2 linked regions of the Astyanax mexicanus genome follow. The protein of the gene in region 1 interacts with the protein of each later gene in a pairwise test. Links are inferred from orthologs where the notes say so. Each region holds a gene or a part of one and is shown on either strand. Other genes may lie near its edges. The genes, in order: cass4 and cdc42ep2.

Region 1 (15,485 bases):
ACTCCATGAAATACAAATCAATTAATATATATTCCTTAGATTTATTTTCTGGATTTTCTTTTTAATATTCTGTCTCTCCATGTAAGAATACATCTACCATTAAAAGTATAGAATGATCATGTCTTTATTAGTGGGCCAACGAAGAAAATCAGCAAGGGATCAAATACTTCTTGGACTCACTGTATATATATATATATATATATATATAGGGCAGAAGTTGACCATCATCTATAAGCTTGGCTACAAGAAAAGTCCCCTGGTCTGCTCTCTTTTTACTCTTTTTTATTCTATTGACTTCCATTAAAAATGTAGAAGGTTTTTTTTCCCCCTCCTGTAAAGTTTTTTTTTTTTTTTTTTTTTTTTTTTGCAAGATACTTGTTTTTCTTTGGACAGCGACGATAGAAACCAGGTGTGAAACTACAGGTGTGAAAACGCTCTTTTATACTCAGTTAATGAAGATCTAATTCAGAAATCCTTACAAACAAGCTGAGATGATTATAATAACGTAAAAAAAATATTTAAAAAATCCAATTTATCATGCATTATTTATTCCAGCACCCAACGTCTAGGGTTTATCTCCCATCAAACATAAAAGTATATACTAGTATTTTAATTTTAGACACTTTTTAGAACTAATATACATATATAATCACGTTTTACATTTCTTATATTACATTCATTCTTTATTTATATTTTTTAAAATACCCACTATAAAAATAGCTTATAGCTTCTTAAGAAGAATTGGATAAAGGTTTTTAATCAGTTGACACCACTATTAAATAAAAAAACATGTAATTCCGTTGTGTTTGCTTGTGTTTTCATGATGAAACGTACCTTGGAGACCGTACACTAGACGCAGTGGGGATTCCTGCTGGTGAAAATTCGCTGAATAACTGTGTGTTGTGCAAAACCACCATGACTTAAAGTTCCTGATTACGAGACATGACATCATGCAGTTTAAACAATAATAATATAATATACTAGCATAATACTATTACACCATTTTACAGTTAAACTAACTTTATATTATTAAGAGCAGACACTGGGCTCCCAATATAAAAATATTTTAATATTCTAAATAACTAAAACAAATAAAGTACAAACACCCTGGTCTCTGAAAAACTGCACTAAATATTAAACAGACCCTTATTCAAAAAATAAAGTAACAACAAATAGATTAAAGTAACATTTACATTCATTTTTTTTTTTAATCAGAACACATGGGCACTTGCAGATTCCTTTTTCTGATCATATATATATATTTATGCACATATAGCTCAGCAGGCCACATTGATCCTGCTATAAATGTATTTTTTAATGTAACTGGCAGACAAATTCTGAACAAGAAACAGCAGCATGTTTACTGTGTGGAGGCTTAAGGCAGGATCTCTCTGGTGGAACAGTTTTATATTTAATATTCAGCTGCATGAATGGGGCTGGATGGTTGTGTTTTAAATAAGATCTCAGGTTAGTAGTATTGCCAGCTTTTGTTTCCACTGTTGTGAAACCTTGTAAACATACCAGCTGATTCGCGTTGATGGTTCTCCTCGCTCATTTGGCTTAAAGCCAAAATACTCCCAAAATACTCCCACACCAGAGCCGTGGAATACGGCTTTAAAACACAGCCCATCCCGGACTAAATTTCCTCAAACATTCTCTGTTTAGCTAATGGAGAAGCAGCATGACTTACTGTACTCTCTCTCTCTCTCTCTCTCTCTCTCTCTCTCAGACTCCGGCTGCTGATGGAGAAGCAGCATGACTTACTGTACTCTCTCTCTCTCTCTCTCTCTCTCTCTCTCTCTCAGACTCCGGCTGCTGATGGAAAAACAGCATGATCTACTGTACTCTCTCTCTCTCTCTCTCAGACTCCGGCTGCTGATGGAGAAGCAGCACTACCTACTGTACTCCCTCTCTCTCTCTTTCTCTCTCTCTCTCTCTCTGACTCCAGCTGCTGATGGAGAAGCAGCACTACCTACTGTCATGTTTCTAAGTCTACTATCTTCTCCAGAAGAGTGAAGGAAAGTCTTCTGAGAAGACTGAAGGCCGTTACTGATGTTCAGTAAGAAAATGTGGATGTTGGATGTTGGGTTGAGGTCATGCCCTATTAGTCATGTAGTTTTTCCGAATGACACGCACTCTGTCGCCTTCGTTCAGCTTCCGATGGAGGAAGATGATCCCGGGTGGGTGTAGGAGTTGAGTGAATGCCAGATGTTGAAGAGGAACTAAAAGAAGTTCTGCTTTTTACAGATTATTAAGCTACATCACTCATAATCTCTCATTTATTCATTTATTATTCGCTGAGTACATTCATATTACAGTAGATACTGTATTTCTGCTGTTATATCTGCTGAAAGCCCCAGTTTCTGGGCTAGATTACAGTGCTGGTGATTCTGTATCTACTGTAACTGTAGATTAATTACAGAGCAGTATGGGTACAACAGATTACAGTGCTGGTGATTTTGTATCTACTGTAACTGTAGATTAATTACAGAGCAGTATGGGTACAACAGATTACAGTGCTGGTGATTCTGTATCTACTGTAACTGTAGATTAATTACAGAGCAGTACGGGTACAACAGATTACAGTGCTGGTGATTCTGTATCTACTGTAACTGTAGATTAATTACAGAGCAGTATGGGTACAACAGATTACAGTGCTGGTGATTCTGTATCTACTGTAACTGTAGATTAATTACAGAGCATTATGGGTACAACAGATTACAGTGCTGGTGATTCTGTATCTACTGTAACTGTAGATCTTTTTTTTTTTTTAGCTGAAGTCACTTATCGCTTTAAAGTAATGTACTATATACTAACTATATATACATTTCTTTAGTTTCCTTAAGTCAGACTGTATTTCAGCCAACATTGCGTTATGCCTAACAACGAGTACTACAAAATAACGTATCTGTGGGCACTGCTCGCAATAAACCAGTTGAGCAACAGGCCTTGAAATACAGCCTCACAACTTTTCTCACCAACTTCAGCTACTTCCCTCTGCTGTACAGAAGTTTCTATTAGAGATGGGTGACTCAAAGGGGGCTAGGATTGAAAAAAAAAGTACCGTACACACGATAAACCACATGTCGAGTGCTCGTAGAGGCCGTAGAGTAGGTGGGTGTTGGGGAATTAGGTCATTCGCACATTCAGAGGGCCTTAAAACCCACATTTAAATTGAAACCTCTGTTGGGTTGAGTGTTTTTTTGGATGCTTTTTGAACTACAGTGCAGAGCGACCACTCAAAAAAAGAATTTAAATAAGAATTAAAGCATTAAAGGTGATGTTTAGTACTTTAAGACTAGGGCTGCAAATAATGATTACTCTGTTAGTCGACTAATCTGATGATTATTATTCTTGTCCTCTAGCTCTAAAAATGATAGAAACAGCTGAACATGAGATTTAAAAGGCATTCAAATGTCTGGATGTTGTTTAAACATGGAAAATACTGATATTTAGTGGTTAAATATGTATCTGTTGTGTTTGGGCACGTTAAGAGACACAAACTAAGTGTAAACTTTAAGTTAAGTGTTTAACGATTAGTCGACAATTAAATTTATAGTAGTCAAATTTAAATAATCGGCATTGTCGATTATATCGACTAATCGTTGCAGTCCTACTATAGATTATGTGTTGCTGCGATTTTTAAGTCCAATAAGTTCTCAGAGAAACCATTACTCAGAATTAAACAATTCACATAACATTGTTTGCTTATCTACTATTTAATTGTGCTGCGCCATTGAAATAGCAATCCACCAAAGTCAGAGCACACCTGGCTCTTAAGAGAATGAAGAGCAAATGACACTCTGATTGGTTTAATTCATGTTATGCCCAAAACACATCTATGATTGATTAATTAAGGGAACTAGCACATGTAATTTGTGCATTTCGAGACGCGCAAGGTGTACTTTTCCCGTCGTTATGACAGCAAAGATTGTGCACGGTTGAGTGCTCGCCTAAAGATTTCTAAAATACGGTCCTAAATCTTTTCAAAAGACAGATTTATGGTGAGAGATCTCTGTCGGCTACATTCTTGCCAGTGTCTGCGCGTCTTTGCTGTCATAACGACGGGAAAAGTACATCTTGCTCGGGCATGATTGAGGGCATTGCAGAAATAATCAGTAACTAATCGACTAATCGGAAAAATAATCGCCAGATTAGTCGACTACCAAAATAATCATTAGTTGCAGCCCTACTTCACATTCTTTGACCGCTATCCCACGATGCACCTGCTGAAGGCTTGTTTAAAGCCGTGACCCAGATCCAGTAAAGACGGGAAGCGATTAATTTGATCTGGTTCTGTAGTGTAAACACAGCCGATCTCTCGTCTCATTTATCTCTCGCCTCAGATCCAGCTGTTCATAGTGAAACGTCCCTCAGATTCCTCCCCGTTTCCTGCTGCTCTCAGCCCGTCCAGCTGTAGCCAGCATCCTGCAGGCTGGACACCGGGCTGAGAGAGACACAGGGATGGGGACGGGGACGGGGACATCTGCAGACGCTCACGTCCATCCAGGAACCTCCACAGACACAAATCATCTGCCCTGACTGAGTCACCCATCATCCAAAAACCAACAGAAACGTTCAGCAAAACTCTGCATTATAGATCTGTGCCTATTTAAAGCTGCTTTATACTTTCCTTTCTTTTATTTCTTTTAATTTTAATTTTAAATTTAAATTTAAATTTTAATTTTATTTTAAATTTAATTCAAATTTCATCCCATTTTCTTCTCGATTTGCAAAGCTAATTTTCCCACCCACTCATTAGTACTGTACTCTCCCATCACTCCCCCTATACTTCTCTCGGACTCCGGCTGCTGATGCACTGACTAATTAAAATGTAGTTAATTTAGTTTCTAGGCACCATCAGAAAGTATGTGATTAAATGTTTTAAATAAGTCTTTTTTTATTCTTATGTTTTCAATTTAATTCCTTAATTCATTATTATTAATTTTATCATTTCTTATCATTCTTATCATTTTACTCTACTTTTACTTTTTTATTATTTTCTGTTACTCATTTTATATTTTATAAATTATTTACTTTCTTCACCTGTGTGTCAATTTTGATTATGATCTTTTTAGAATATTCAATTTTATATCCTTTTTACATACGTATTTTATTTATCTATATTAAATGTTGATTGAGAAACAGCATGACCTACTGAACTGTACTCTCTCAGAGTCCGGCTGCTGATGGAGAAACAACATGTCCAATTGTACTCTCTCTAGCTGCTTTGTTTTGCAATACTTTATCAACATGTGGCATAAAATATGGACATTTTTATTGAAAGATACGCGCTCTAAAATCCCTATGACTCGCCTTCTAATTACATTTACTAAAATTACTGCTTTAATACTCTACATGGTAAGGCTATAATCAAATTAATAAGGTTCAATTCTGTGAAAATTACACCAATATATGCATAATTTGTGTCTGCTTGTTGAGAACCTCAGTACACAGCAGGATTAGTCAGCAGAGACTTCTTCTGAGGGAGGGATCTGTACCTACTGCCTGTAGCATGAACTAGCTTGTTTTTGTTTTCCCATTTAGCACAAGCTAAAACTAATGCCACTAAGTAACAGCTTATTTGCATAAAAGTGACAGAGCCCTTAAACAGCACACTCTGAAAGAGACTGAAACTGGTATAAAACAAAACATGTTTTGTATAGAAGACAGACCTACAGTATTCTAACTTGTGTATTCACACAGGTTAAAAATGTTTTTAAAGGGTCTGTTTTAAGACTCTACTTTTAAATCCTCTGCACTTCTGCATTTATTACTTTTGCAACCGATATCACAAAAAAAAAAACTACACAGAGGCCACTTCTGCTTCGAGGAGTCTTAGAATAGCTGTGGTGTTGAGTGTTGAGTTCAGCTGACGACAGTGTAGCAGCGCGGATTCAGGGAGATACGAGGTCTTTCAACACTTTACCCAGAAGCCCGTCTGTACGCTGGTTTACGTCTTTTCTACTCGACTTAATTCCAGGGATTCCTGGAGGAAAGCAACAAGTTAACGACACCAATAAAGTCCCCTTCTCTCTCTCTCTCTCTCTCTCTCTCTCTCTCTCTCTCTCTCTCTCTCTCAGTATCGTATTTCACAGCAGACACTGCAGCTCTAAGCAGGGCTTCAGGGTTGGGGGTGGGGGGGTTGAAAGGAGGTCATGGGGTGCATGAAAAAATAGGATGGTGAGCTGACACCAGCCTTTAGACTGATATCCCAGCAGCTGGAGGTCCACACGCAAAAAAAAAAGAAAAGAAAAAAAGAAAAAGAAAGAAAGTGACCCTCATAAAGAGTGCTGATCACTATTAACTCACTATTAGTTTGGACACGCCTTAAAATTCACTGTTGTATTTTAATTATTTAAAAATGTTCTTCATTGTAGATTAATAATACTAAACTTCTTCAAACTATGAACAAAAATATATAGAATTAAAAAACAAAAATGTGTTAACCCTCCTGTAATTTGATTAATCCTGGTTTATGTTTAATTACAGGTAATAATGCTTCAATTAGGATAATTCACTCGTTTTTCATAAAAAAAAAAATACTAATGTCCAAACTTTTCTTAATGTTTCACTACTTTTGAAACACCAACGTATATAAAATACAGTAGTTTTATTTAATATTAAAAAATAACATTGCAATTTTGTGTTTTAGTTTTAGTTTTAGTTTTTGCAAGGGGTGGTTGCAAAAATGTAAGATGAACCATTTTCATACTGAAAAAAAATCATTTTAACTATTTTTCCTAGATCTATACATTTTAAAACAGGTCAGTTTGACCCAGATCAAAACAGGAGGTAGAATCTCCTGGAGTTCAGGCTTTCAGTTAACAGCTGTGCTGAACTCATCAAGAGTTAATTACTTGAATTTCTTGTCTCTTAATAAAGTGTTTGAGAGCATCAGTTAAAGTAAAGTAGTGAAGAGGTAGAGTTACAGGTATACAGTGAATAGTGAATATTTGAGTAATGTTCGAATCCAGGTTAATATATAAAGTCAATTTTAAGAACTTTGAAAGCATCCTTAAGTGCAGTCACCGCAAAGACCATCAAAAACTTTATAATGAGGAAACTGGCACTCATCAGGACCGCTCCAGGAAAGAATAAAAAACTAAACTCTTCACAGAGTGTTTAACACTTTTAAGTTACTACATGATTCCTTACTAAAGTTTTTCAGCAGTGTTTGATACTGTTACTTTGGTAATTAATGTTAGTTTTAATGATGTTAACTCACGCTTAAACCCTGTAATCCACACACTTCTCTCACACTATACATTAATAACCGATACAGCAGTTTCAGAGGCCCTAAGATAGAGCCCAGAGGGACCCCACACTTCTGGTTAACCAAACACCAAGTTACTAAACTCTGCTGATGCTTCATGTGTTTGTTTGTTTTTTCTGTGTTTATCACTATTAGGGCTGTACGATATTGGAATATTGTTGTGCAATGTATGTATTGTGATATAAAAAAAAATCACAAAACAATAATGACTAAAAATAGTCACTAATCAATAATAATTTATACCAATCACTAGAGTAAAAGTTAATGCAATTGTGCTGATTTAACCATTATTCCAGCATCATCCAAAACAACAACTTTACAGGAGAGACATAAAATCTTAACTAAATAAATGGAATGTGAAAAAATGTATGCCACATAATGTAGAGCGTTTCTATTGGTCAATTTCTCGTAAACTTTTGAGACAATATATAAAGCAAATGCAAGTTAGCAATGTGCGTGTGTGTGTTGATAAAATACTTTATATTTTTATTTTATATTCGGTATGTAAATTATCTGCAGCAAATTATATTTGACTGTTTATATAGATAAAAATATATTAATAATTATACATTCCATTCATAAGCAAAAATCAAAAAGGTGCACACATCTGAAATCAAGCTGAATTAACAAAAATGAAATAACAAAAAAGATGCAGAGCTTCAAAACAAGTTCATATTCATAAAGTTTTAAGAGTTCAGAAATCAATATTTGGTGGAATAATCCTGTTTGGTTTTTAATCACAGTTTTAATTTTATGCATCTTGGCATCATGTTCTCCTCCACCAGTCTTACACACTGCTTTTGGATAACTTTATGCTGCTTTACTCCTGGTGCAAAAATTCAAGCAGTTCAGTTTGGTGGTTTGATGGTTTGTGATCATCCATCTTCCTCTTGATTATATTCCAGAGGTTTTCAATTTGGTAAAATCAAAGAAACTCATCATTTTTAGGTGTTCTCTTATTTTTCAGAGCTGTATGTAGATGATCTGATAGTATTGATAGTATTGATCAGTGCTTACCTCCATCTCCGTCTCCGATCACTGGTCTGCAGTTTAATCCAGTTAAATCTCCATTTAGAGCTGCAGTAGATCTCAGAGCTCTACAGCAGAAACCTTCTTCCTCTCTGATTCTACACCTCTGATCTCTCCTTCACTTTTATATCACTTTTAACACTATTAATCCAACAGTTCACACTCCTCCCTCTCTCTCTCTCTCTCAATCTCTCAATCTCTTCACACACTTTCTACAGCAGTGAGTGAATGAGGGAAGACTCTGCTGGTAGTTCAGTCTGCCTCGGACCCTCAGCCAATCACAGCGCCTGTCCACAGCTGTCCCCGCCCCTCTGTCTTCACCCGCCTCCTCTTTTTCTTCTGAGAAATGCAGCAGTGTTCAGTAGTGGGTGAGTGTGTGCTGCCCACTGATATCACTCTTTCCTTTAATTGTTTCCGGTGTGATGCTACTTCTATTCATTACAGTTAATGCTTTATTTTGCACACACACACACACACACACACACACACATTTAGACACACACACACACATATTTAGACACACACACACACACAGTTAGACACACAATTTTTGGGACAAAAGTAAAAGTAAATAAAAACTAGAGTGGTGTGCGAGTGTGGCTGCAGTGCTGATTTTTGGGGTGTGAAGTGGTTGCTAAGGTATTGCAAGTGTTGCTAGGTGGCTCCTATGGTGTTGCTGTGGTGTCAGTGGTAACTGCTATGGTGGCTGTCAAGGTGTTGCTAGGTGGTTGCTAAGGTGTCGATATGGTGTCTGTGATGGTTGCTTAGATGTTGCTAGGTGGCTGCTGTGTTGTTGCTGTAGTGTATAAGGGGGCTGCTGTGGTGTTAAGGTGCTGCTAGGTGTTCCTGCACCTAGTGCGAGTGTGGCTGCAGTGCCGATTTATGGGGTGCCAGGTGGTTGCTGAGGTATTACGCTATGCTAGGTGGTTGCTAAGGTGTTGCTGTGGTATCAGTGTTGGTTCCTATGGTGTTGTTAAGGTGTTGCTAGATATTGCTAGGTGGCTTCTTTGTTGCTGCTGTAGTGTTTATAGGGGCTGCTGTGGGGTTAAGGTGCTGCTAGGTGTTCCTGCAGAAAATGCGAGTGTGGCTGCTATGGTGTTGTTAAGGTATGTTAGGTGGTTGCTAAGGTGTTGCAGTGGTGGCTGCTATGGCTTTGCTAGGTGGTTGCTAAGGTGTTGCTTGACAGTGGAGTGTAAATATGTTTCTCGTAGCTCTTCTGCTTTCTTTGTTGTTCCATATTATGTCTTTTTTCTATTCTCTCTCCCCTTTTTTGTAGTGAATATAGTGAATAGTATATAGTGAATAGTGTATAGTGAACGGTATATAGTGAACAGTATATAGTGAACGGTATATAGTGAACGGTGTATAGTGAACGGTGTATAGTGAATGGTGTATAGTGAAGAGTATATAGTGAATAGTATATAGTGAGTAGTATATAGTGAATAGTATATAGTGAATAGTATATAGTGAATAGTATATAGTGAATAGTATATAGAGAACAGTATATAGTGAACGGTATATAGAGAACGGTATATAGTGAACGGTATATAGTGAACAGTATATAGAGAACGGTATATAGAGAACGGTATATAGTGAACGGTATATAGAGAACAGTATATAGTGAACAGTATATAGTGAACGGTATATAGAGAACAGTATATAGAGAACGGTATATAGAGAACGGTATATAGTGAACGGTATATAGAGAACAGTATATAGAGAACAGTATATAGTGAACAGTATATAGTGAACGGTATATAGTGAACGGTATATAGAGAACGGTATATAGTGAACGGTATATAGAGAACAGTATATAGTGAACAGTATATAGTGAACGGTATATAGAGAACAGTATATAGAGAACGGTATATAGAGAACGGTATATAGTGAACGGTATATAGAGAACAGTATATAGAGAACGGTATATAGAGAACGGTATATAGTGAACGGTATATAGAGAACAGTATATAGAGAACAGTATATAGTGAACAGTATATAGTGAACGGTATATAGAGAACAGTATATAGTGAACGGTATATAGTGAACGGTATATAGAGAACAGTATATAGTGAACAGTATATAGTGAACAGTATATAGTGAACAGTATATAGTGAACAGTATGTAGTGAACGGTATATAGAGAACAGTATATAGTGAACGGTATATAGAGAACAGTGTATAGTGAACGGTATATAGAGAACAGTATATAGTGAACAGTATATAGTGAACGGTATATAGAGAACGGTATATAGTGAACAGTATATAGTGAACGGTATATAGAGAACAGTATATAGTGAACAGTATATAGTGAACGGTATATAGTGAACGGTATATAGAGAACGGTATATAGTGAACAGTGTATAGTGAACAGTATATAGTGAACAGGCACAGTTTCAGACTCGTCCATTGTGTGTTTGAGTCTATCCCCTCCAGCGTCTGAGCTGATTTATTGTTGACAGCTTATTTTAAAGACCTGGATTCTTCTGAGTTTCTGCTTTGTTGTCTAGACGACACAAAGAGCGGTGGACGGGGACGGGGGGACGGGGGATGGGGTTTATGGTTTGGGGGAAGTTTTGGAGGACAGACTGGAGCAGATCCTGCAGTCGTGGTCTGGTATTCACCAACGAAACCCAGCCAGAAAGAGTTCCCATCAATCTATCAGTGATGCTCCACATCTGCTGCAATCACTCCACAAAGAATTTCACTAAAATACTCTTTAAATTTAATTTATATAAAGAGAAACATAATCAAAGGTGTGAAAAGTATCTAAATTCATTACTCTGTAGGGTGAATAGAGTATAGATACTAGAATTTAATAAAATACTTCTGTAGAATTAAAAAAAGTATCAACTCAAGCTTTTTACTTTTTGAGTAAAAGTTTAAATAAAACTACTTCTACTTCTAAAAACAAACAGCCATGCTACTCCTAGTTCCTAATTCAGATCGTTTTCATTCCGGCTTCTCATCGTTTAATAAACCCCCTATCCAGATAAATCTCTCCATCCAGATAGAGTGAATCTGATTGTGATTGGATGTAGAGAAGTATAAACACATACCATTCTGACTCCCTATTGGTTTATACTGTGATCCATCACACCCGTGGGTGTGGCCTAAGCTTTTAAAGGTTTTAGTCTTGATTACTTTATTTTTTCTCCTTACATTACTTTTACTTTTATACTTTAAGTATAAGGTTTAAATCCAGTACTTTTTAAAACACTTTTACTTAAAAGTAAAAGTTAAAAGCTTGAGTTGATACTTTTTTTAACGTACAAAAGTATTTTATTAAACTCTAGTATCTATACTCTATTCTACCTACAGAGTAATGAATTAATAAAATAATTTCACACATTTTGAATTAATTTGGATTAACATTATCAGTGGAAATCCACATTTCTGTCCTTGTTTTAATATAAGGAATTAAGTGACCAGTCTGGAGATTTTTTGGTTTACTGACGCTCAGACAGCTCTCTCCTGGAATAAAAACATTCACATCTGTTAAACGACACCAAAAGGAATTTCACTCAGGCTGCTGTTTTTTCAATTAAGGTCTGATATAAACTCTGCATATCAGATTCTAACATTTGTTTACTTCTAAAATGACAAAAAATAAGGAAATAAAATAAGAAAGCACTTAAAAATGATGAGTTTCTTTGATTTTATTAAATGTAAAACCTCTGGAATATAATCAAGAGGAAGATGGATGATCACAAACCATCAAACCACCAAACTGAACTGCTTGAATTTTTGCACCAGGAGTAAAGCAGCATAAAGTTATCCAAAAGCAGTGTGTAAGACTGGTGGAGGAGAACATGATGCCAAGATGCATGAAATTAAAACTGTGATTAAAAAACAACCAGGTTTATTCCACCAAATATTGATTATTTCTGAACTCTTAAAACTTTATGAATATGAACTTGTTTTCTTTGCATTATTTGAGGTCTGAAAGTTCTGCATCTTTTTTGTTATTTCAGTCATTTCTCATTTTCTGTAAATAAATGCTCTAAATGAGAATATTTTTATTTGTAATTTGGGAGAAATGTTGTCTGTAGTTTATAGAATAAAACAACAATGTTCATTTTACTCAAACATAAACCTATAAATAGCAAAACCAAAACTTGGACTTTCTAAAACTGATATAAAACAGTGGAATTGCATATAAAGAAAGGGAATCATAGAAATACAACATTATCACAATACATTTCCCACAATAACGACAATATCCCATCATCACTATGCTCGATTTATCGAAATACAGTTCTCTACGATACTTCACAGCATCTACATTATTGAGGAGGGTAAAACACTCCTAAATAATCAAATACCAGCAACTATGGATTTATTAGTATTTATTTATTTAGTAAAGAAGCAGCAACTTAAGTTTTAGTCTAATTGGTTGGAGCTTTAGAGAGTTTATAACGCTAATGTTTTAATAAAAGCATCCATAATTGAAGCCACGTATCACAATGTGATATCACAATATCGATATATTGTCACACCCCTACACATGTCCTAATTTACTAATATACTGATGCATTCAGCTACTTCTAAGGTATTTATTTTATAGAAAGATTATTTCCACTCAGGCCAGCAGCCGGAGTTCACCACCAGCTACAAGCTAATGACTGGAACAGGAAACCAAGATAAATAACCACCAGCACATATTTAACGAGAATTGTTCTGCCGAAATTCAAACCACCCAGTTTTTAGGTCATCCGTTCTAGGTCATCTATTCTCCTTCAGTTTTCTAATACTGTATAGGCTATATATATATATATATATATATATATATATATACAGCTCTGAAAAAAATGGAGATCACTTGAGTTTCTGAATCAGTTTCTCTGATTTTGCTATTTATAGGTTTATGTTTGAGTAAAATGAACATTGTTGTTTTATTCTATAAACTACAGACAACATTTCTCCTAAATTCCAAATAAAAATATTCTCATTTAGAGCATTTATTTACAGAAAATGAGAAATGACTGAAATAACAAAAAAAAAGATGCAGAGCTTTCAGACCTCAAATAATGCAAAGAAAACAAGTTCATATTCATAAAGTTTTAAGAGTTCAGAAATAATCAATATTTGGTGGAATAATCCTGGTTGGTTTTTAATCACAGTTTTTGTTTTCATGCATCTTGGCATCATGTTCTCCTCCACCAGTCTTACACACTGCTTTTGGATAACTTTATGCTGCTTTACTCCTGGTGCAGAAATTAAAGCAGTTCAGTTTTGATTATATTCCAGAGTTTTTTTTAAGTGCTTTTTTACAGAGCTGTATTTATATTCTGTTTAAAAACCATCTACCAGCACAATCGTTCTGAAAAAAAAAAAAAAAAAAAAAACACACAGCTAAATGGTAAATGTTAGAGATGTGATGGTATGATGGGATTAGTTTCTCAGGGGGTTCTGGGGTAATTTTTATCCTCTGTGATTTTATTCCTGTCCAGAACGATCATGTGCGTGTTTTTCTCAGACGTCCTCTGATAAATAAATTACAGGCTGAATTATCTACTGTTTTTCTCTGAACTCCGTGCTCCTCCGGTAATTTTAGTCCCGTCCGGACGCACATCTCTACAGACTGTATTACCTACCTCAGGGTGGCGCTATGCAGAACTAGATGTCCCAAACTGTAACTTGCACAACTGTGTTCAAATTAAATTAATTTAAATTATTTTTTTGTTTGTTTTCTTTGTTGTTTTGTACTGAACCAGTGGATACAGAAAAGCTTGGACCCCAAAATGTCTTGAAAATGAAGCCGTCGTTTTGGGTAAGTCTAATGTCTATGTAAAATTGTCAATATTATCTTAACTGGTAGCCATGTATTTAGACGTGCTGGACTCTTCAGTATTTGTACTAAACATTTACCAGTACTTTTGCTAAATTGCATTTAAGACATTTATTTTCGTTTGTTATTCATTATCTTGTATCATAGTAGCTTTAGTTACTCTGTACTGTAATTTAATTAAAATATAAAATATTTTATTTATAAAACATTATTTACCCAATTACAACAGACACATTCAATGTACCTGTTTAAATTCTGTATCCAGTGTAAAATAAGCTCTTCTTCTAGTCCTTCAGGCTGAGCTGTAAACTCAGATTGATTGTACACACTATTATTATTTAAATAAATGAGTTTTTTTGTTTGTTTTTTTAAATCGTAAAACACAAAACAACCCAATTTTCTTTTAATCTTTTATTTAAAAAAAAAAGGCTCAAAGTGTTCCAACATGAACTGAAAAAGAAAAGGATCTTTTTTTCCAGCTGATCAAATTATACAACACCAGTACTAAACTTAGTACTGAATTCATCAGTCTTTTCCCTATCGTCTGTAAAAAATAAAAAAAAACACGTAATACCATGTAATAAAGGATTCAATTAATGGTTATTAATTAGTTTTAAACACTTTAAAAATCATTAATACAGTTACAACACAAACACAGAAAGGGCAACAGTGATTTCCCTTTCTATTAATGTGTTTTAAAGTATTTATAACCTAGTTAATAACTATTGAAACAGTTCATAAACAGTTTACTGGTATGTAAAAGTCTTCATAGTGAAATGGAGCCCTCTAGTGGTGAAGGCCGGTCATCACAGATCCCAGGTTCGGTAGGTTGTTCACATCTCATTTCATCTCTCTCTCTCAGGTTCAGTCGGTGGTGGTTCGTCGGTACCAGAATCTGGCTCTGAAGTCGTCGCTGCAGGTCATGAAGCCGGGGTTGGTGGGTGAGTGGACGATGCAGCGGACGATGTTGTTGTGTCCGAGGCTCAGCAGGTTCTTGCGCTCGGCCGTGCGAGAGTCCCAGCAGCACAGGCTGACGGTGCGCTCGTCCGGCAGCAGGATATAATCCTCCGTGTGATTAAACACGCCCTGAGTACGGTGCGTCTGACGCCCACTCAGACCCGCGCCTGCAGTACAACACACACCAGGACAGAGGTAAATACAGAGACTATCATAGTAATTAAACAAGCTTAAACTAATGACCAGAGAGAAAGTGAGTACAGGTGAGCGGGTGCAGGAGAGCAGGTATGTTTTTATTTATTGAGTGTCTGTCCAGTGGGGTTTTTCCCACATTTTGGCAAACAGGTGAGAAAAAGGGCGGGTAAATAAAAGCCAGTAAGTGGACAAGAGCGCGAGAGAGAAAGCAGGTGAGTGTTTAGAGAGCAGGAGACAGAAA
Region 2 (16,474 bases), on another chromosome or scaffold:
TGAGACTAAGAGTTGCTGTCACACTGTATAAAAATATTTATTGATTAGTATAACTGGAAAAGATTGATGAGCATTTTTGAGAACGTTACTAATTGTACTGTATACTGTATTTTTAGCTGGGTGATATGACAATATTTATCATATTGGGAAAGGTTCCAATATTCTTTTCTGGCTTTTTCGTAAATGTCATTTATCAACTACATTTCATCACAAAAAATGTGTCAAACAAGTGCTGGGCAATATAGAAAAAGAAAAAGAAATATTCTGATATATTGTGCATCGAAAGAATGTCACAATAATCATCTTGATTATTGTATTAATGCCATGTTGTCTGCAGACATGAGGATGTTTGAGTGCATGTGCATGTGTGTGGTATGTTGAATGATTGATGTTATAATGGGTTGCGTGTGTTGCGTGTCAGGATGTGTCTATATATTGAACATGTGTGGACGCCTCTATGTGTGTGTGTGTGTGTGTGTGTGTGTGTGTGTATGTTGCAAGAGCACACTGTGGTGAAAGAGTATGACTTACATTCCTCTGGCCTTAAGTCATGCATCTCAGGTTACACCAACCATGACAGTGAATGGGAATGTGTGAGTGTGTGTGTGTGTGTGTGTGTTTGCTAACACATGTGTGTGCAAGGTTTTCTTCAATGCCAACAAGCATGACTGCTTCTAAATGCTACAGCCTTTCTTTCTCACCCACACACACACATACGCACACTCAAACACACACAGGCACAAACATGAACAGCTAAAACCAAAAGAATGTGTGTTTTTCTACTAGTACTAGACAATATGACTTTATTAAACTGTGATTTTTTTTATTGTATTAATATATTTTTATAAGCACAGTAAGAATATAACTAGTGCTTAAAGATTCTTAACAACAGCACAACTAGAGGAAATGCTACATATTTTGATAAAAAAATGATTGCGTACACTTACATTCACCTCATAATCAGATGATTGCAGAACATCAGAGTTTGTTAGCTATCTGATCAATGCATTTACGTGAACTTAAATATGTTGTAAAGCTTATTTCCAGTACCGCAGTACCGCAGTCACACAGTTCACACATGTACAGACTGAGAAATCCAAGAACATACAATACAATTTGTATTATCGGATTTCTAGATCTCACTAAGATAAAACAAATCACAGTATTTTATTAGTGTGATAATAATATGCAGATAACTGCAGATATCCTTTTAAAACTGGATTATAAAGTGCATGTAAATGCACGATAATTTGCCACATTTCTATGAGTAAGCTGGACAGTGTTCAACCTCACTCACAAAGTGACTCTCCAAAACTTATACAGTTACCTAAGGTAAAACTTTACCTAAGGTAACACTTCATGGTCAATCTACACACCGCTAACCCATTACTATCAGTGTATATGCCTTATATACCGGTAGGTATAATCTAGATATTTAAGATAAATTACCTGGTGTGGGATAGCATTTACAAATAGCAGTTTAAAAGTCATAATTTCTACTGGGAAACACTAACATTAGCCTTACGCAGGAAGAAGCACAACAATAGTTTTAGTGGGACTGCTGAGGTGAGGGCTTTGCTGCAGTCAAAATCCTGCAGATTAAACACACACATGTACACACACACACATACAGGATAGAGGAAAGTTCTGCTTCTGCAGTTTTTAAGGAGATGCACTGGTAGCAATATTGTCTCAGAGGTTAGGCTTGATGATGCTAGAGTTGTGGTGAATATAATGTTGTGCCTGTGTGTGTCTTTGTGTGTGTGAGGCAGATTACAATACGTTGTCCTAACTGTCTAATTGTGGTTTAACTGCCGCAGTACTGTATATGCGTGTGCTGACAGATGCCTTTCCCTGATGGTACAGAGCCACACTGACTACAGTTTGTGTGCATGCAATTTTGTGTGTGTTTGTGTGTATGTGTGAGTGTGAGACAATGATAGAATGACATTGTCTAGGGAGAGAGGGGCTGCAGTGTGCTGACTCACTGAACAGAGACAATAATGGACAACGGATAAACAGAGAGAAAAACAAGGGAAAGAAAGAAGTAATGGTAGAGAAACAACGCTGGCCTCGTTACAAATCACTGCAAATTCATGACTGTGCTTTTTGTCCTTTGTGTAAAAAGTTTTATTAACAAATTAACTTTCCGTTCCTTGTGCCACAAAGAGGTTCTGTATTGCTAAGCCTTTTTGTAACCATAGACAATGAAGTGGAATGTCTGTGTGTGTGTGTGTGTGTGTGTGTGTCAAGGTTAGAGTGCAGGCTAATCAGCAGTGTAGAACCTGTATATCCACTGATTTCATGCACAGCAGGGTGAGATATGATACTGATCAGTTTCAGCATGCTGTATGCATTTGTTTAAAGGCTATTTGTGTTGTTTTAGGGGGTTATTTTTTTCTTTCTAGACCACACACGTGTAAAATACCATTCACAAGATATCACATGTTACAGCGGTGTAAACACTTCAGTCCTTCCAAGACACATTTAACAACAAAATAAAACCTTGCTTAAAGCCATGCTTGAGCTTCGATAACTCGCGTCACCTTGCCTTGAGTAAGCTGGCCAGGGTTCAACCTCACTCACAAGATAACACCTCACAACTTATGAAGGTAACATTTTATGATCAATATATGTCAATGTATGTGGCTTGACCTTATACAGATATAATCTGGATGCTCAAAAGGCCAGAATTGGCCAGGTGTTAATTCAGCATCTTTAACATCAAAAGCTGCTTGGACCTCCTAATTGCTACAAAAAGAACTACTCACAGACTGGCTTGGTTTAAGGAAACCTTGCTATCTCTCTATCTTATCAAAACAAGACCGTGACACTGCTCCTAATCCTGGGATCGGGTGTTTGAATCAGTGATGTCATGTGTGGACCTGACATAAGGGCCTACACGTCATATCAGTTGAGAAAAGGCCATTCTGAAGAGCATACTCATACTCCTTATCACACGCTATCTGTGTTTAGAACAGCTGAATCATAATGATGCAATTCTCATAGCCTAAACAGGCAATAAATGATGCTAACATCAGATAGTCTAGTCTAGCCGAGACGACATGTTGCCTAGTAGTGCCACACTGAAAACAATGACACACTGAACTTAAATAAAACATATTAAATCTATACAATGCTGTCTTTCAGATTACTTTGCATGGTCAGTAATTGTTTAACATTTGAATTGAGTAAATCCAATGCTTCATTTCTGTCAGTGTGGAAAAATAAATCCTGTAGCAGTGCACAATGTGGAAAGGTTATTTAATCGAGGCTCCTGAGTTTTATCAGTGAGGAAAGGGCAGCAAACAAAAGTGCTGCCAAAGTGGACGAGCCAAACACTTAGTAAGCCAGTGCTACTTCTTAGATAATGTAGAGAACACACTATCACGCAGGCTTTGAAAAGGGAACAGAGAGTGTATATTAGCGTATAAGGAGGTGGATACATCATCCTATAAAAAACAATTTAATTTACGTCCGACTTTTAAAAAGGGTCTCCAATGGCTCTTTAGTTAAGATCATGACGATAACAATATAGAACTGAGACAAAATAAGTCAAAATATTTGCATATTTGCATATTACACACACACAGATGCCATTTGGCTGTGGATAAATGAATGTATGTTAATAAATAAACACATATTATGTATATGTTTAAAAGCACTTAGATCAATTTAGGCCACAACCATCCAAGTTGCTTTATTCCAATCAGATTTAAAAGTAAAGACTATGTTTATACACTGCCTGGCCAAAACAAAAGTGGCCACCTGGATTTAAGTAAGTAAATGATGTGGGGTTGATGCTGCAGTTGGTCAGGTCTAGGTTCAGCAACAGTATGTGCTGAAAGAATAAGGTCAGCTGACTACCTGAATATACTGAATATAGACCAGGTTATTCCATCAATGGATTTCTCTTTCCCTGATGACAAAGATTCATGGGGCTGGAATTGTGAAAGAGTGGTTCAGGGTCCAGTCACAGAGTCCAGATCTTAACCTCATTGAGAATCTTTGGGATGTGCTGGAGAAGGCTTTGTGCAGTGGTCAGACTCTATAATCATCAGTGTAAGATCTAAGTAAAAAATGAATGCAACACTAAAACTTGTGACATTGCAGAACCATGTGACGCAATTAAAGATAAAGGCAGCCCAACAAAATATTAGAGTGTTTGACCTTTTTTTTGGGCCAGACTGTACGTATGTTGTATCTTCATGAATTCAACTGCATAAACACAGCTTGTACAATAGCTTTAAAAGAAAGGTTCTTCTAAACCAAAATGTTTACCACACCTTAAGCCAAGGATTGGCTAGACACGTACAAGTCTACAAGTGTACTTAGCAAGTGGAACTAAATTGTACACTTGTGCAAGTGGTGGCAATCTGTCAAACTCTTCTGAGATGAGGTGACCAATCAGTACTGATGTTAGATAATTAGTTTTGCAGTTCTCCAACTCATCTCAAAAGTATTGGATGGAGCTCAAGAGATCACAGTTTCACTGCTTCACAGTGCAAAACTGGAGAGGCTTTATACCATGCTATCCAATGCTTGGTTTCAGCCATTAAAGCTTAGCTGAATGCAATCAAATTATCATAGCAAAGTTCCACTGTACAACCTTTCCAAAGGAGCAGAGGCTGTTCCTGCAGAAAAGGTGGGAAAAATCCCTGGTAATGTCCTAATGATTTCAGAGAACCATTACGTAAGCAGGGGTCTACACTGGCCTTTAAAGGCAGCTTGGGGAGAGGAAATGCACAACACAGTGGATATCTGTCATAATCCCTCTCCACATCTAATTTCCTGCACATTTATCATCAATCAAACACAACGAGCCTCCACCCAACTACAAGAAAACAACAGTGCAGTTTTTCCAAGGTAGTTAAAACGGAAATTACAAAAACATACTACATTTCACACTGAAGGACACAATTCACTTACAGAAAACTGTAGACTATAACTGTCAAACAGCAGTTTTAGTTAAATAGAGAAAAAAATTTTTTAAATAATAACCACCTTATTACAACTTTATTATTCGTATCTTCAAACTGCAACTTTAAGCTATACAGCTCTGGAAAAAATAAGAGAACAATTCAGTTTCTGAATCAGTTTCTATGATGTTGCTATTTATAGGTTTATGTTTGAGTAAAATTAACATTGTGAAAACAAGTTCAAATTCATTAAAGTTTTAAGAGTTCAGGAACCAATATTTGGTGGAATAACCATGATTGTTAATCACAGTTTTCATGCATCTTGGCATGTTCTCCTCCACCACTCTTACATACTGCTTTTGGTGCACTCCTGATGCATGAATTCAAGCAGTTTAGCTTGGTTCAATGGCTTGTGATCATCCATCTTCCTCTTGATTATATTCCAGAGGTTTTCAATTTGGGAAAATCAAAGAAGCTCATCATTTTTAAGTGGTCTCTTATTTTTTTCCAGAGCTGTATGTCCAGCACACTGGGAGTTAATGCTCTCTAAAGCAGGTGTTTGCTGCCAATGGGAGCTCAGTAAAAGCCTGTTCTCGAAACAAAAAGCTAACTAAAGCTGTTCTCTATTCAACGGTCAGCACACCCGCAAACAGACGCCAAACAGAGTTACCACGTGATTTTAATGCGGTTCAAATAATGGGTGAATGCGGTAAACCGCTTGGGTTAAAGTGTTCAATAGATATGCTATTCGATATTATGGGCTGTTATTGTTATAGGCTTTTATCCACACAGCTTTGCAACACAGTTAGTTACCGCTGGTCTACTTTCTGAGGTAAACAGAAGATTCTCTATTTTAATATTCCTCACAGTTTTTTTCCACAAACTGCGATTAACACGGACAGGCATTTAAAGCTTTTAAACCTTTTTTTATAGAGCTGGCTCAATATCTCTCAGACAAACAGAACTACTTGTCTGAATGTATTTAATTTAGTTTTACTTTGGCTAACTGTTTTTCTAAATACTCATTTTTAACACGCATTTTACCACAGAAAAAAATATGTTAATTTTTTTAACTGTTTAATGTGTTTTAACTACTTTTACATAGCTAACACAGTAAAATTCAGTATTTTCACTACATTTTTGAAGTATTGATAATACATTTAAAACCAATTTTTAATCAAATCAGCTATGCTAATTTTTCTTAAAAAAAAAAACGATTTGTCTATATTCTTTTAAACTAAGATGTGAAATTGGTCCCACAAACAGAAACCCACAGTTAAACCCACCAGTTAAATTGAAGCCAAATATAAGTGCTGTGTTTTTATTTTTTGAGCTTACCTTTAAGTTCAGTTTCTCACTCAGTTTAAATCCTTTTTATAGAGGTGTTCGTCCTCCCTGAAGAGAGAAATAAGTCCTTGTACTGAACAGGCAGGGAAAGCCTCCTGTCTCCAGGTGCTCTCCAGTCATGAACTGACTCAGTGCAGCGCGAGCTCGTGGTTACTCAGCCTGGCCCCGTGACTCCGCCCTCGGGGGGCGTGGTTGAGTAACCGCGGGTCTGCGAGGGGAGCCCGAGCATCTCCGACTCGTTTCATGGCTAAAAAAGCCAGAATACCCCCTGAACGACCCCCACCGTGTCTGCACCGTCAGTACTCTCTCTCCCGCTTCACGGAAATAACCTCTTCATCCGATACACTGAGCTCTGTTTGCTGATACTGTGAAACCAGAAACGCCCTCCAGAGCACTTTCTCTCTCTCTCTCTCACTCTCTCTCTCTCAACCTTCTCTCTCTCTCTCTGTCCCACTCTCAATCTCCACTCTTTCACTCTCTCTCTCCTCTCTTTCACCCTTTTCTCTCTCTCCTCTTCTTCTTCTCAATCACCCTTTTCTCTCTCATCCTTTTATCTCTCTCTCCTCTCTCTCTCTCACCCTTCTCTCCCTCTCACCCTTCTCTCTCTGTCTCTGACCCTTTTCTCTCTCACCCTTCTCTCTCTCCTCTCTCTCACACCCTTCTCTCTCTCTTACTCACCCTTTCCCTCTCACCCTTCTCTCCCTCTCTCACCCTTCTCTCTCTCTCTCTCTCTCTCTCTCCCCCTTCTCTCTCTGTGCCTCTCACCATTCTCTCTCTCTCTATCTCTCTCCCCCTTCCCTCTCTTTCCTCATTCACCCTTTTCTCTCTCTCGCCCTTCTCTCTCCTCCCTCTCACCCTTCTCTCTCTCCCCCTTCCCTCTCTCTTCCTCTCTCTCTATCTCTCACCCACTTCCCTCTTTCTTAATCTCTCTCTCTCTCTCATTCTCTCTCACAAGTAGTTCTAAATACATACAGTAAAGCCTATTATTAGAATGTAATGAATTTCACACATTTTTCAGTCATTCAGAGTAGTTTGGTGTGAAATCGATTATTATAGAGGTTTCTTACAGTGGTAGTGATAAGGTAAGATAATCCTGTAATAATCAAACAGCATTCACTTTTTTTTACATTATTACAGTTTTGTAACTTAGAGGACAGAACAGAAGTGTCAGAAAATGTACAAACGATATACAAAATAGATATATACAAAGGTACAAGAATATAGAATAAACCACTACTCAGTATGTATGGGTTAGGATACCATATAAACACCACACATTGAAACTAAGAGAAATCAAAATTTTTAAAAAGGGTTGAGTTTGCTAAAATGCCACACTTTTTGGCAAATGAGGTCTAAAAAATATATATTTTATATATTACCAATGATATTTGCATGGGTCTCAAACAATTATTTGTTTAGAAAATGTGAAAAAGTAAAATTGTTTTGGAAGTATGAAAACATTAGTAGGTTCCTTTCTGAATTGGCATTATTTTTATTTGAAAGAGCAGCTAAAACATTGATGGGAAACATTCTGCTTTGTTTGTAGGCTTACTTATTACTGCTTCTTCACTCTTGTTAGTGATGAGGGAAATATGCTATGTTGTCATCACTTACCAAACGATTTCTCTGATGTACTTCTATGACGCTCTTTCCCGCCCACCTTAGCAACCTCTATAGTTGCATGTAAAAATGTGTTGTTGCAACAATGAAACAGCACTTATTCTGATTGGCTGTAAAATGTTAAATAGTTATGAAGTTATTTTGGCCCAGTTTATCTCTTGAGTTGACAGAATAGCATATATTCTAAAACATGTTCATTGCTATGTACAATATACAATATGATCTTCATGGCTACATTCAGTATCACTAACAATTTGTGTTATTATGTGGCTTAACAGTGTTATTATGTGGCTTATTTACTGTTACAATCACAGCTCAAAGTGTCTAGAATTTGTTTTCCATCAATACTTGCTCTGATTGTTCTGAATAAATGACATGAGCATGTTTTAGATGTTTTGGATAAATGCCATAAATGTAAAGGTAAATGTCAATCTAAAACCAGCAGGATTAGCAGGATCAGCAGGAACCGCAAAACTAAGCATGATTACAAACAAATGCTTCATTCAATGCCGGTAAAGATCTGCTTAACCATCTTACTTACCAGCATAGAGTATGTTTTGCCTAGATTACCAGTTTTTTAACCTCCTTGAAGTGAATTTTTTTTACAGCAGGGTTCTGAACCTTTAGGTTGACCCCAGCATAATACTGCAAAGCCTTGGTCTGTAATCACATAAGCAGCCAGCATAGGCACATTGTATCTCACCCAGCATGTGCATCAACATAACAGCTTACTTCATTTTAAACCAAAAGTGTGCATTAGACCATGTCATTAAAAAAAGTTAATCTCAAGCTAAATGTAAGTTATGGGCTCTTCAATGACCTAGTGTGTGGTCCACTATATAAAGAGTAAACAGCTTTTAGTGACTCTCTCAGACGCTCACACACTCAAACATGCTCTTTCGGAAAACAGAGTCTCGGAACAGTTTTCCCTCTGATTTCCGCCGGACAGGATTTCAGAGAAATGGGACAAACAAAGATTTAGATAAGCCAGTGTTTACAGGCTCTCATGCTGGAGTGCCTTTCAGGTGTGCTGAGAACAAAGACAAGAGGAAGCTAAGCGCTACACTAACTGCCCATTAGCCAATTACTGTTTTGTTGACTGCCATTGAAACATTTAGTAAGTGAGTACATGTAACTGGGTAACCAGATGCTGCTCATATCTGACAGTGGGAGGCTAATTTGAACAATCTGGAAAGATTTTCTGCTCCAGCACACTTCATTTAACACATTAGCCCATTACAGAGTTTTTCCTAAGTCAAATTGGGTGTGTTTGAATAGGAAAACATAACAGTGTGTAGTGCAGGGGGGCTCCACTCAGAGACTGTTGGTGGCTGACATGCTAACTGCGCTGGAAGGCTAAAGCTCTGTGGAGTTTATCATTTTCCTTCGTCTAACATAATGAACACTGTTTTTCTATTTTTAAAAACAGGAGGTTTAGACCTCTGATTTACGTGAAGGTGCTATTTTTGATCACTGAATTTCTCTCCAATGTGGAAATTTTAAAAATATATATGTTTTCAGCATTTTCGTGTGGCGGGTAAAACTTCATAAAAATAGTGACAACACATACATGATGCTTTTTAAATCACACTATATGTATAGTAAACTACACATTTTCATGGGTTTTCATAGATTAAATACTTTTGTAAATACTTTAATTTTACAGACATATAATGCGAGGTAATGTGTAATTTAGAATGAAATCTCTGTTTTTTATTTATTCTTTGGGATGTGTTGATGTCTCTAGCATGCTAAGTCACATAATCATCTGTGTATGGACATAATTTATTAAAACATGCAATTATCTGAATGTGTGAATGCATGGGGTGCAGGGCTGGTTAGGTAATTAGCAGATGTTGGACTTGATGAATGCTTTATCTGAATGCTAAACTCTGCACTGCTGTGGGCCTCTATAGCTGGAATTTCACACTCCTAAATTAGCCTGTGGAGAAAGCAAACTGAAACTAACACTCATATAGGCTGTGTCTGAATGACTGAATTAATGAAACATCTTTCCTATCTATTTAAATGGACTTGGTTGCCATTTGGATTCACATGTTAGTCATCACAAACAGTATTGTGGTGATGTGGCCATGAGTTACAGCAAAAAAAAAAAGGATCACAACATCAAAATAAATGCACTCAGGTGTATAGAAGGTTCCTGATTACTGTATTTATTTTCATGTAGTTATAGTATATATATATTGTTTGTATATTTAAAAAACCCATAACATTATCTTATATTTCTTCTCTTATCTTATTTTATCTTATCCTATGTGTTAGCAGTCAGTAGGTTACTAGTATAATAGATGCAAGAATGCAAAAATCTGTAGTACTGCTTTTTGTCATTAATTTAATACTGTATTTTTTAGAAGTGCATATTATTACACAACAGTGCTTAATTTTAGTTAGTGGAGAACAAGTATGTTAGTAGATTCCTGAGCTGCTCAGCCTAGACCTGTTTAAGGCAACTTTTTAATTTGACTTTACATATACACAATTTGCAACCATGAACATTTATGCTGCTGGTGTGGGTGTCCTCATCATCAGTGAGGAACACAAAATCAGTTTACATACTAATAGCAGACATTTGTGAAAACTTTTAAAATGCTAATTCTTGTGATTGCAATCACTGCTAAATATACAGTATACCCCACAGTACAACACTGTGGCGATGTTCTAACAGAGTAGCTGCATCCCAAAGCCTGCAGCAAAGGTGGGCTGCTGACCTGAGTGAAGGTTATTACAATATGATACAGGCTATAACGCCTTTATATACAGGCTAGAAATGCAGCCTATATTCTATAAGTGAGAACTTTCTGAACATACTGATGTATCCATCCAGGGAATATGTATTTGGTGTATTTTGGTGATTTGGTGTATTTTTCATGGCCACAAGTCTCCAAAGAAGAGTTCATTTAAAAATTGTAGTTTTTTATAATGCGTAAAGAAATTAACAAGTAAAAGGCGCAATGCAGTAAGCTTCAATCACTCCCACAAATGCACTGATAAGTTTTGTGTAGCAGTTGCAAGATGCAGGAGCTTTCTGATGACATCACTACGCAGCCTTATTAAACTTTTATTTTGTGGGGGCCGAGTGGTCCAGCAGTCTAAAGCACTGCCACTATGAGCGGGAGGTCGCAAGTTCGAACCCCCATCAAGCTGCTGGCTCTCAGATGGAGCACAATTGCTTTTTCCGGGTGGATAGATGGCACTCTCTCCCCACATCACTCCTAGGGTGATGTCCACAGCACAGGGCATCTGTGAGCTGATGTGTTAGTCTACACCCTCCTGGTAGTCCTAATGAGTGGGTTGGATAATTGGCTGTGTAAATTGGGGAGAAAATGGGAACAAATTAGAAATAAAATTCTCTCTCTCTCTCTCTCTCTCTATATATATATATATATATATATATATATATATATATATATATATATAAAAAGGACAATCCCATTGAAGACCCGCCCCACTGAGGCTGCAGCCTAGGCTTTGGAGCACAGCCACTGCTAGAAATATAGGAATCTGGCACAACAACAGTAATACTAATAACTCCAAGCGTGGAATTGTGGGTCTATAAGTATGGTTATAGACCGACCTAACACTGTGGTATTAATCCGGATGTTGATGACCTACTACGCACTTAATTGCCTTGTACTATGTAGAATCTAATCTAATGAGATTTCTTATGTAGATCTAAACCTTTTGCTGAAACAATACTAAGCTATTTCCTTTCACAGATACATGCGGAGAGGCTCACGTACAGCCTATATATTTGCACTTAAATCCCATATCTTAAAATAATAGATATTTATCTCAATAACAGAGCAATAAAAGTTCCATTTGTCTACCCTGCAGCTCTGCACCCCAGTGCAGGATTTATCCTCTCCATTCCACAGTGCTGCTTCCTGAAAGCTCCAGTGAAAGGCGTTCACCGGCAAATACACGCTGACTCATAGTCATACCTAAACTATTACACACACATGGAGGCTTCTACAGTAAACCATTAACAGCAGTCAGTGCTGATATAATTCAGTATTCTACTCAATTCATTTGCGGCATTAGTGATTCATTTAAGATGTTACTATTAAAACTTCCCAGACTCCCCTTCCCTATAAACTCTGAAATTAAGAACCTATTTTGCAAAAATACATTGTGTCTTCTCCCTATTATTTTACAATAAGAAATTTTAAGATCTGTCCAGTGATGTCTACACTTTTGCATATGATTGTATACAGTATAACCAGCAAACAAATCCTATATAAATCCTATATAACATCAACATACACGCACAGAATTGACCACACTACTATTAGGACTGACCTCAAACCAGTAAATATCTTCCCCCTAACTGGAGAATCCCCACAGTGTGGCGTCTGCTGCTATTTGTTTTAGAATGTTTTCAGCTGACCAGTCACTGGCATTTGACTGGTCAGGCATTTTCTGTGGCTAGTTGCCAAATTCAAGGAGCTTTCGTTTGCGGGCTGAAGCTTCTGTTACTTCTGGAAGGCCATATACAGCCTCATATTGAAGAATTATGTCTTTCTCTCAATAAGGACATTATACAATATTCACAATTCTCACTTTTTTGTGTGTTCCAATGTGCATTGGCCATTTTGCCAGAAATAAGATTCTATAAGAACTATTTATTTGTACTTTGTAGGGTTCTAGTTAGTGTAGCACAACTGTTGCTGCAATAGTGAACCACAACTGATCCAGATATTGTTTGGTTGGTGACATAAACATGCCAGCAGATAGGTGCACATACTGCAATGGCAAACTCAGTACTATTTTTATAAATTTGTTTATGTAATATTCTTTTTTCATTTTAGTTTGTGTGAAATTTTGCAGATTTACCCTGCAGTGATGCTCCATTCTCCTAATCAAAATTGTTAAGACAAGAGGTCACCATAAAAGGTTAGGATTTCTGCAGGCGAACCACATACAGCTCTGGAAAAAATGAAGAGACCACTTCAGTTTCTGAATCAGTTTCTCTGATTTTGCTATTTATATGTTTGAGTGAAATGAACATTTTTTTTTTTTTTTTTTTTTTTTACAAACTATTGTCAACATTTCTCCAAAATTTCAAATAAAAACATTGTCATTTAGAGCATTTATTTGCAGAAAATGAGAAATGGCTGAAATGACAAAATACGCAGAGCTTTCAGACCTCAAATAATGCAAAGAAAACAAGTTCATATTCGTAAAGATTTAAGGGATCTAAAATCAATATTTGGTGGAATAACCCTGTTTTTTAATCACAGTTTTCATGCATCTTGGCATGTTTTCCTCCACCAGTCTTACACACTGCTTTTGGATAACCTTATGTCACTCCTAGTGCAAAAGCAGTTCAGCTTGTTTTGATGGCTTGTGATCACCCATCATCTTTTTTTCCAGAGATATACATGGTTTCATTGTGTGCACTTTTTAGTAAGGAAAAATAGGTTGCATAACAGTAGAAAAACAGGCTCCCTATCCTCAAGATAAAAGTTTTTTTACAAATTATTTACATAGTTAACTTTTACAGTGCGGCAGGGATTTTGGACCAAGGTCAATTTAAGGGCATGAATGACAAAAATGTACCTGTATGACCCACATTATAAGCTTTTCATAATTATTTCAGCTATGTACAAAATTATTTTAGACTCTGTTTACAGACTCATGCATCTTAGTTTTCAGGATCATTTTTGGATTAGGCCAATCCACATAAAAATGCAAGTGTAAACGCACCTAAAACACATTTAAAACAGATACAAATCAAAAGGAGATTAATTTGAGTCACATGTTATAACAGTGTAAACACTTACATCTCTCTAAGACAACAACGGCATTTGACAATGAAAAAACACCAGCAATAATTGTTGTGAATTTTCATCAACTCACAGCAGAGTGAATGAAGATGCATTTTACAAAACAATGTACATGTATGTTGTTAAAGTCTTACTGAGATACAATCCAGATACTGCAAGTTCTCTAAATGTTCAAAAACCAGTTAAATCTATTAAAGCAGTCAATTAGTTAAAGTTTTGTACTGCAGCTCTAAGGCAAATGCAGCTAACAAGCTACGTAAGCTACTGTGTAGCCACCACCATACTGTTAGCACTGTTCGAATCTTTTTCACCACACAGCTGTTTAAAGTGATCCTAAAAAGATTATTGCTTATTTGTTTGTGCCCATGTATGACACACTGGTTTCTTTAAACATAGCCTACAATATTGCTAGTTAGCTGTGCAGCATGTTTAGCTCACACAATGTAGTCAACAGTGTCAGAAACCACATAGGGAAGTATCTGAAATTTGGTGATGTACAGTGTGACATAGCTTGAGACAAGTGTGTGACCATTTATTAGACATCAAGTGTTTTTGTGGTTGTTGCTGTTGTTGGTGGTAATTTATTTGCTATTAGCCACATTAGCATTGTAGCTCGAGAAAAAAAATTGAAGCAAACTTTAGGCAACAAACTTCACTTGGCTATTAGAACATCTGTATCTTACTGTTATTTTGAATATTCTATTTTATTTCTGTATTTAAGCTCTATTTATTTGGCCCATCTTAGCATCTTTATTCATTGGATTTCAATATAAGTAATGAGGCTGAATTTGTTGTATATTGGAGCTGTAATGAGTGTGAAACCATTGGCTCTAATCACCCAGAGAACATTTGTTATCCTCATTGGTGATAACTGCTGATGTCGAATGACAAAGAACTCATGATAAGACCAGAGACGGGTTTGCCTTGTTCAAAGCGAAGGTGGGATTTTAATACCATTGTCTCTGGCCCTAGTGGCAATGAGCCAGATTTGCATTGAAGGCCATCGGTAGGGCATACAAGCAACACCTTCATAATCATAATGAAGCCTTTAGACAGACATCACATTCCAGATGTGCTCCAAGGACCCTCAGAGTATCACTTTACACGCACACGCACCAAACATTCAAAACGTCTGAAATGGCTTGTAATGAACTTATTTATCAGGAAAAGCACTAAAGGGGGTCGCCAGGACCAGGATTGAGAAACACTTGTCTTATGTAACTAAATTGGTGTCAACTCCTGTTCTCTAAATTCCTACTTAATTCTACATTGTGCTATGTGCAGTAGATATTAGGTATATATTGCCCTTGATTCCCTAATGTAGGACCTAGTGATCATGTGTTTTCTGTTCTTTTTAATTGTGTTCTCCTATGCTTCCAGGGTTAGGAACAGAGATTATGGGCTGTTTTTCTGTTCACTATTATTATTGTTTTGGTGTTTGGAATAGGCTTTAGAGGTAATTTCTGGTGTTTTATCAACGTTGCGGATCACTATAATAGTGTTTTAGAAGAGACTAGTAAAATGGGATCATACATGCTGATCCTGTGTTTCTAACATCCAGCTCTAGTAAAACAATAAGAGACACTTAAAAATAATGAGTTTCTTTCAATTTTATCAAATTGAAAACCTATGGAATATAATCAAGAGGAAGATGAATGATCACAAGCCATCAAACCAAACCGAACTGCTTGGATTTTTGCACCAGGAGTGGTATAAAGTTATCCAAAAGCAGTGTGTAAGACTGGTGGAGGAGAACAAGCCGAGATGCATGAAAACTCTTATTAAAAACCAGGTTTAATCCACCACATATTGATTTCTGAACTCTTAAAACTTGAATATGAATATAAACTTGTTCCCTTTGCATTATTTGAGGTCTCAAAGCTCTGCATCTTTTTTTTATTTCAGCCTTTTAACATTTTCTGCAAATAAATGCTCTAAATGACAATATTTGTATTTGGAATTTGGGAGAAATATTGTCTGTAGTTCATAGAATAAAACAACAATGTTCATTTTACTTAAACATATACCTATAAACCTTAGTGGTCTCTGTAGGTAATAGTGTAGCTGTAGGTAACAGTGGTTTTGACCATTTGTGCTATTAGAACAGTGTTGCAGATAATGCTCAATATTTTCTAAAGTAGGTATTTGGTTGTGAGTAAGAATTATTTCTGTTCCATATAGTACTGTTCTAGATAGTGGTCTTCATTTTTGAATGTAGGGACTACAGGTTAGGGGGCGAAGTATTGTCAACAGAAGCAAAGTATTGCCAACCGAATAGGACTCTCTGGTGATTAACAGGAACTGTTTGATGCCAAGCACTGAGCTGTGTGGCAGAGGAAGTGTGTTTCCTGGAATTATTGTGCTTTTAGGATGAGTTGAGGATGAGATGGGATGATGATCATTCAACACTATAAGCTTATAGATAGATAGATAGATAGATAGATAGATAGATAGATAGATAGATAGATAGATAGATAGATAGATAGATAGATAGACAGACAGACAGACAGACAGACAGACAGACAGACAGACAGACAGACAGACAGACAGACAGACAGACAGACAGACAGACAGAGCTCCCCAATCTAGCAGAACGCCTTTCTCTGACAGTAAAATCAGGACAAACTCTTTTGTAATATGTTTGATGAAACAATGAATGAATATATTTTTCCTGGTAACTGGAGTTTAGTGAGTAATCATACTATTGGATCATCATTGGATGATCTGCAGAACCCAGTCGTCAGTTGTTCCACTCCTGCGTTTTCCTGTCTGTATTCCAAA

Evidence for each region.
Region 2: the proteins of cass4 (region 1) and cdc42ep2 interact in binary tests that used the Homo sapiens proteins (3 or more experiments, as listed by UniProt). The link is inferred for Astyanax mexicanus from reciprocal best matches to the Homo sapiens genes CASS4 and CDC42EP2.

Annotation. Positions count from the first base shown.
Region 1 is NC_064431.1:32,796,012-32,811,496, reverse strand, and holds the start of cass4 (cas scaffolding protein family member 4), read right to left. Parts: upstream 8,528-15,485; 5' UTR 8,300-8,527; coding exon 8,294-8,299; intron 1-8,293. Other genes in the region: cstf1 (cleavage stimulation factor subunit 1), read right to left, coding at 14,957-15,216. UniProt on the Homo sapiens protein: Docking protein that plays a role in tyrosine kinase-based signaling related to cell adhesion and cell spreading. Regulates PTK2/FAK1 activity, focal adhesion integrity, and cell spreading.
Region 2 is NC_064408.1:32,548,542-32,565,015, reverse strand, and holds the start of cdc42ep2 (cdc42 effector protein 2), read right to left. Parts: upstream 6,572-16,474; 5' UTR 6,258-6,571; intron 1-6,257. UniProt on the Homo sapiens protein: Probably involved in the organization of the actin cytoskeleton. May act downstream of CDC42 to induce actin filament assembly leading to cell shape changes. Induces pseudopodia formation in fibroblasts in a CDC42-dependent manner.